Drosophila melanogaster: one gene and its partner. The protein of the gene in region 1 purifies or fractionates together with the protein of each later gene. This does not show direct contact. Each region holds a gene or a part of one and is shown in the gene's direction. Other genes may lie near its edges. The genes, in order: Syx7 and Vps45.

Region 1 (3,928 bases):
GCAGTTTATTGAGATAACAAATGACTTCGTTGACTTCTAAGTACCTTGGACAGACCGACATAGTTGAATTTCTCGAACTCCAGACGATTCCGTTCGCCCACCACTCCACGCAGCTGTCCATCGAAGATCCTGCCTGCGGTTACCGTGGGAACGGACATACCGTCGCCCAGGAAAAATATGACATTCTTGGCACGATATTGGTTTGGTGGAGTGGATAGCTTATTGTAGAGCGTGCGCTGGGCGTCGTGAAACCAGAACTCCTTGCTCTTCAACTCGGAAATAGAGTCGAGGTCCCAGGATTGCTCTGAAAGTAATGCGATTTTAGCTTATTTCATTATAAATTAAGAATGCATATTATTCTGATTAATTGAAACCATTTTTTGTTACTAGCCGATATGCATACACATTTCAAGTACAACCTCAAGAATTTATCAATTCCAAGCACATGTTTCGTTTTACAAAACAAAAGCACAGACACAATTGCCATTGTTTTCCACTCCACTTTCGAATTAATCATTAAAAAGGGAAATTGCTTTCAGAAGATAGCACATAAATAAAACACCGAAAGAAACCTATGGAAATTAAGCATTAAAATTAATTCAAATTTAAATTTTAAAGTATTAGTCTTATATCCACTTTCGTTAAAACATTCTCCTTCGGAAAAAGTGATGTTTGACAGCTCTGTTAGCGGGTGTCAAATATTTAATTCAATTTACGAGTATTTTGCTGACGCCTTTTATACTCCGTTTAGCACTTGATTAATCAATTCTGCATATGTTTTGAGTTTGCTTTCGACCTGGCACACTCTCACTCGTTTTTCATTTATTCATTTCGGGTCTTTTGGGCCCGTTTCTGATCTCGGTCTTGACGTTACGCACCTGGCCCATATTTGTACTGGCTGCTACAGGCCGTGAGTTGGAGGGCAAGAGCCGCAAAGAACCGGAGAGCACGCATCGCACGGAATTTTGATGAACTAACTTTCGACTGGTCGGGGCGTTACGAAGTCTACGGATCGACTAAGCCGCATTTCGCAGTTGGAGGCTTATTTATACGAGCCCGGTAAGACAGGGACCGAAAATGCGAGTCGAATTATAAAAAAACACTGAGACAATAAATTAAAACCCGTCCCTGTATTATAAAGCTTCTAAATACACCTACCAACCGGAATTTCGGGATGAAAGAAAGGCATTTATGCCCTTATTCAAATTATGCAGCCAGCACAGCTTAGATTAAAATGATGTTCTCCAAAAATCAGGTTCGTTGCATTGGTCATTTGCATAATATCTTGCATCGCAGTAGGAGATGATGTAATTAGTGGATGCATCGAAGCAGCCTAATTCATTCTGCGATCTAAAGTTCATTAACCGTGCCAAACACCGGATACTGATAAATATCTCCAATACACTAATTTGTAACGTTAATTTGAATTAAGTTGCTTTTGATTTTTTTTATAAACGAGTTGCACTTATTTTGTCTACCAGTTATTTGACTTTTTTAAGAAAAGTAATAATCTTCAATTTTATTTCTGCTAAACAGGTTTCAAATACCCTGAGTTGTACAATGTTAAATTTTAAGTTTTGAATAACATTCTGGGTAAGCAAAATAGTTTTGTATACCTACATTATTATTAAATTTGGTATGAACATATTTATTGAACGGAAGGAAAACTGTCTAAAATTCGACTTATTTGTTTTATAAGGCATCATTGTTGGTCATTTTCATTTCTATACGACATTTTCCTAATCTAACATTTTAATTTTGGAGAAAAAGTGCAAAATAATAATTTATAATTTTGAATAATAACATTAAGCAGTTCATTTTAGACATGGATCGATTTTCAATAATAAATCTCAGGACTTATATACATTTTCGAGACAAAATATAGGGGGAAGAATATAATTAAAATGCAGTTCTATATATCTGCTATTTGAATGCCGCGCCAGATATCGATATAATTGAAGTGCTGTAAAGCGTAGCAAGGAAGTGATGCTAAACGCATCACGCGCTAAGGCACTTTTGGGTATTAGTCGAAAGTGACTTTCTCACAAGTTGGCAGTTCCATTCCAATTGTTGTAAAAACCTAGCTAAAATTTCAGTTTTGCGAACATTCCGCCTACTTAAATCAACAAATTTCAGATTGCGAAACGCGTAAAAAGTGCGAAGGAAATGCTCTAAGATCAAGGTCACCGGCGAAGGTCACCAACGACAGCTAGGGCAACCACAAAAGGTGTGTGGCTGTGCAGCAAACAAAGGGAATGCGAATTGCAAACATTCCGACAAACAGACAAACTAACAAACAAGCACGAATATAGAATATAGAATCAAGAACCTGGCTGAGACGCATAAAAGCGAATGTGATATAAGTGGGCCACGGGGCTAATTCGATTGTCTGTCTCTCCAGGAACAACTTGTCTCCAGCGATAACTCGAAGGTCATCAAAGTGTCTGCCTACGAAAGCATGGACTTACAGCATATGGAGAATGGTCTAAGCGGCGGGGGAGGAGGTGGCCTAAGCGAAATAGATTTCCAAAGGCTGGCCCAGATTATAGCCACCAGCATCCAGAAGGTGCAGCAGAATGGTGAGTGGCGTCGAAGCACTTGCCAACTTTCGCCTATGACTAATCTAGGTTTCTGTCTCTTTCGCAGTGTCCACGATGCAGCGCATGGTCAATCAACTGAACACGCCCCAAGATTCTCCGGAGCTCAAGAAGCAGCTGTAAGATGATTATCATTACGATCTCTTCGTTTGGAATTTAAACTGTCCCCATAGATAGAACCCATTGCAGATATACATCGATTATTCGAATATCTCTCAGACAAATCATAAATTCTAAAGACATAGTGAAGATCTCTATTGGGTGTTTACTCACAATGTCTAAAAATCTTCTTAAGCCAATACAGCCTTTTAATACATTTTGCGCACATCAACCGACCACATAAACCAACAGCAAAATAACATTGTAGTCAGTCATTGGTTTTGAAAGTTTAAACGTATCAGCACAGTGTGATTCACAAATCAAATCAATGTATAACGCACGATAAAAATAACAATCCCTTACTCCACAGCCACCAAATAATGACCTACACCAACCAGCTGGTGACCGACACAAACAATCAAATCAACGAGGTGGACAAGTGCAAGGAGCGCCACCTGAAGATCCAGCGGGATAGGCTCGTGGACGAGTTCACGGCGGCACTGACCGCCTTCCAGGTTTGTTTTTGTTCTCCCAGATAAGCAAATGGTTTTGTGAGTCATGCTGATTGTTTATCATTGGTATTTTTAGTCTGTTCAGCGCAAGACGGCGGACATAGAGAAGACGGCGTTGCGGCAGGCGCGCGGAGATAGCTACAACATCGCCCGTCCACCCGGCTCATCGCGTACCGGCAGCTCCAACAGTAGCGCCAGCCAGCAGGACAACAACTCCTTCTTCGAGGACAACTTCTTCAATCGCAAATCAAACCAGCAACAGATGCAGACTCAGATGGAGGAGCAGGCGGACCTGCAGGCCCTCGAGGAACAGGAGCAGGTCATACGGGAGTTGGAGAACAACATCGTGGGCGTGAACGAGATATACAAGAAGCTTGGCGCCCTGGTCTACGAGCAGGGACTGACGGTGGACTCCATCGAGTCGCAGGTGGAACAGACTAGCATTTTTGTCTCGCAGGGCACGGAAAATCTGCGCAAGGCGAGCTCTTACAGGGTAAGTGCCGCCCCTACAAGGTTATTATTTTAAATAATTTAAATATGTTGTTTATTAGAACAAAGTGCGCAAGAAGAAGCTTATTTTGGTGGGCATCCTGAGCGCCGTGCTGCTGGCCATCATCTTGATACTCGTTTTTCAGTTCAAGAATTAGAGCCTTCCGGCATCTCCGAATGATTCAAACCAAACTAGTAAATTGTTGTGAAAAGACAAGAGTTGCCGCATGC
Region 2 (3,928 bases), on another chromosome or scaffold:
TGGCCTCCGTGCCACTGGGTGTCTTTGTGAGCTTGACGGAACTGTATCCCTCGATGCGGAATATGTCCTTCGTGATGCGGTTGATAAAGTTCACTAGGTTTTGGCAGCCCTTAATGTGATTCTGCAGTGGATTGTTAGGCAGTGCGATCTTAAAGATGATGGCAAGATAGCTGTAGACAATGGCATCAAACTCGCTGTAGGTGTCGCCAAAGAACCACACCTTGCGACCCAATTTCCGGGAGAGCAGGTTCACCACTTTTTTGGCATTGACAACGAGCTGTAAAGTAAAATGATTAATTGATAGTTAAAGAAACGTCTTGCTTTTCACAACATTGATAAGATATATTGATAACAAAAGACCAATACATGAGAAACTGTTTCTTATTAATATAAACTGATGAAACGTTTCCAATCGAAATGCAGCTTGGGTGTAAAACATAGGTTAGATAAACAAATTAAAAAATCCTCGGATTTAAAGATACAATAATGTAATATGAGACAATATGAAATTGAAAGCACTCACGTAGTCGCCTTCGTGCTTGTCCAACTTGTCGTTCACATCGAAACCGGCCATCACCTGAACCACGTCGCAGGCTTCCCTTTGGTAGGACGACGGGTAGTAGAAGTTGAAGGGGAATGGCGTGCGCTTGGCGTAGAGGCCCCGCGTGGTTGTGTCAAAATTGTGAGGCTCTCCAAACAGGAAGTAGTGGTAGTAGGCATGCAGATTGGTGAACACCCAGTTGGCGTAGGCGGTGGACAAATGCTTTTGTTTAGTGCTTAAATGCGCATCTATCGGGTAACCCTGAAAGAATACGTCGAATTAAGCCCATAAAAAAACACATATCTATAAATAGAGCCTGCAGTTTGTTCACCCCGGCATTGTTTTGCTCACTCACCTCGAGATCCAGCACGCGCTTAATTTGCCTATAGCCCGCGAACTTCTGGTTGCCGATCTGCAGATACGGCAGCTTCCCGGCTCCCGAACGCAGCGGATTGGAGCTGGTCTGCACGTCCATGGGGCAGCGGGTGAATCGCAGGAGGCACTGTTTCCGGCAAAGAGGCGCTTTCATCAGTTTCTTTCATCATCTGCGATAATGGGCAAAACAGGCGTGCTGGCCGCCGTGTGATGCAACGGAACTTACCAGAGCACGTAAACATTCAAAATCTATGGACGGCAGTCCGTACTCCCCCTTGTACACATACAGCATGGCTCCCAGTTGCATCTCCATTGTGTCCTAGTCTATGCTTTGCTCGTACTCTTGTATTTAGCCGGTTTTCAACAGTCCACCTGCATATCAGCCATCCGAATTTGAATCCAAAAATATATGCCAGAATTTCTGGCCGACTGCTGCGAGTGCTTCAGACTGATAACTACTGGGCACTCGATATATCGCTCGAGCATATCGGCGCTTTATCGATTGCCGGCCAGGGATGTTGCTACTCGAAGTTTATTTTGGCTAATGAAAAGATACGGAATTATGTTTGAGCTTAATTGCTATTTATGTTTATCTTTATTGCTATTTTTATTATACTACCAAAAAATTGTAAGTTTTTATCTATATGCATTTTTACATATTCACATTATTTTACATTAGCTAGATCTAGCGAATGTTACCCAAATGTTTGGTCACCGCTGTTATCACGGAGCTATCGCAATTGGGGCATCTCCAACCCATCTGTTTGCGAAAAAAAACATTAATTTCTGATTTTCGCAGTAAATTAGTTAGCAGTCATGAATCTGATAAGCGGCATTAAGTTGTACATCGAGAAAATGTGCTCCGAGTCGGGACCGGGCATGAAAATCATTCTGCTGGACAAGGAGACGGTAAGTGCAAGGACTGACAATCAAATCCCCTGCCATATGATCAAAAATTCACATCATTCGCAGACCAGTATAATTTCGATGGCCTTTAGCCAATCGGACATGCTGCAACGGGAGGTGTACCTATTTGAGCGCCTGGACTCGGGAAGATCCAACGAGCGGTTAAAGTATCTAAAATGCATCGTCTTTATACGCCCCACCAAGCAGAACATCCAGCTACTGGCCAACGAGTTGCGGAACCCCAAATACAGCGCCTACTACATTTGTAAGTGGGTCAGTAGAAGCACCTTCGGAATAGTACTAAACTCATAAATAGATTTCAGCAACATCATTCCCCGGACGGACATTAAATACTTGGCAGAGTGCGACGAATCCGAATCGGTGCGAGAAGTGAAGGAACTGTATGCAGACTACCTGTGCGTCAACCCCAATCTGTTCTCATTAGGCATTCCCAATTGCATGGCGAATCTTAATTGGCTGCCGGACGCTCTCAACCGCAGCATGCAGGGCATCACAGCCGTGCTGTTGTCCCTTAAGCTGAACCCAGTGATCCGGTACCGAGCCGGTTCTCAGGCAGCGCAGCTTCTGGCCAAGCTCATATACGAGCAAATCACAAAAGAGTCCTCGCTATTCGACTTTCGCTCCAACATGGATGGCGCTGCGCCACCGCTGCTGCTTGTGCTGGACCGCAGGGACGATCCTGTGACGCCGCTTTTGCATCAGTGGACATACCAGGCCATGGTGCATGAGTTGCTGCACATAAAAAACAATCGATTGGACCTGTCCAATTGCCCCAATGTGCCGAAAGACTTCAAGGAGCTGGTCTTATCCGGTGATCAGGATGACTTCTATGGCAACAACATGTACGCCAACTACGGCGAAATCGGATCTACCATCAAACAACTGATGGAGGAGTTCCAGCGCAAGGCGAACGACCACAAGAAAGTGGAGAGCATAGCAGACATGAAGAACTTTATTGAGTCATATCCGCAGTTTAAAAAAATGTCTGGCACTGTGCAAAAGCATTTGTGTGTGATTGGAGAACTGTCGGCGCTGAGCAACAAGAGGAATCTCTTCGAGGTTTCCGAACTTGAACAGGAGATCGCTTGCAAGGCGGAGCACTCGGCCCAGCTGCAGAGAATCAAAAAACTAATTGCCGACGAACGGGTTTCCATCGATGATGCTCTTAAGTTGGTGGCACTTTATGCATTGCGATACGAGCGACACGCCAACTGCGACACATCTGGACTGCTGCAAATAATCAAAACGCGCGGTGGACGAGCGGCTATAGTGCCATCGTTGATTGAGTATGCTGGAACCCATGTACGACAAGGAGATCTCTTCAATATGGTGCGGATAACGGACGCCGTAAAGCTGACACGGAATTTGATTAAGGGCCTTAAGGGTGTGGAAAATGTCTTCACACAGCACACTCCTCTCCTGAAGGAAACTTTGGAGGACGTGTTTAAGGGCCGCGAGCTGGATCCCCTCTTCCCGGCCATCAATTCAGAGCTTGTGCCATTTCGACGACCACCGCAGGAGGTTGTCGTGTTCATTATTGGCGGTGCCACGTACGAGGAAGCCTTAGCGGTGCACCAGTTAAACAACGCCGGCTATAAAGTCATTCTTGGCGGCACCACCATCCATAACTCGCAGAGTTTTATCCAAGAGGTCGTGGCCGCCACTAGTGGCATTCAGTTTAAGCACACCAAATCCATGATCAAGTACTGTTCCACGGATAACATTTAAAGTCTATTTTGACTAGATAGCCCCAATTATATTGTTAACTATTTATTAACTAAATATGAATGTGCATTATGTATTAAGGTATTCCATGCATTGTACCAATTCAAATCCATTGGACTATTTAACCTTTTAAGCGTAACCATGTAAACATATTTATTGTTATTCTCGAGGGTAACACCAGGCAACGCCTTGGACAAAATGTATTATATACAACTATGTGTGTACAAAATTACTAAACTCTCGTTGTCCTTGCAATAATTCCACCCCGTTTCGGCAAAAAGTTCCTTGGCAACTCCCAGGCAACGTTTCGTTTGGCTCAAACAAGAATCTGATTTTTCATTGGAGGAGTATCATTGACCA

The links.
Region 2: the proteins of Syx7 (region 1) and Vps45 purify together in Drosophila melanogaster (affinity purification with western blotting, with the first as the bait; one study listed by BioGRID). This does not show direct contact.

What each region holds. Positions count from the first base shown.
Region 1 is NT_037436.4:21,443,797-21,447,724, forward strand, and holds the start of Syx7 (syntaxin 7), read left to right. Parts: upstream 1-2,037; 5' UTR 2,038-2,227; intron 2,228-2,364; 5' UTR 2,365-2,458; coding exon 2,459-2,579; intron 2,580-2,646; coding exon 2,647-2,716; intron 2,717-3,066; coding exon 3,067-3,211; intron 3,212-3,284; coding exon 3,285-3,701; intron 3,702-3,759; coding exon 3,760-3,855; 3' UTR 3,856-3,928. Other genes in the region: Alp1 (alkaline phosphatase 1), read right to left, coding at 45-304, 879-954.
Region 2 is NT_033777.3:9,562,294-9,566,221, forward strand, and holds Vps45 (vacuolar protein sorting 45), read left to right. Parts: upstream 1-1,630; 5' UTR 1,631-1,732; coding exon 1,733-1,825; intron 1,826-1,888; coding exon 1,889-2,087; intron 2,088-2,138; coding exon 2,139-3,571; 3' UTR 3,572-3,799; downstream 3,800-3,928. Other genes in the region: CG9393 (uncharacterized protein), read right to left, coding at 1-277, 524-802, 897-1,043, 1,143-1,229.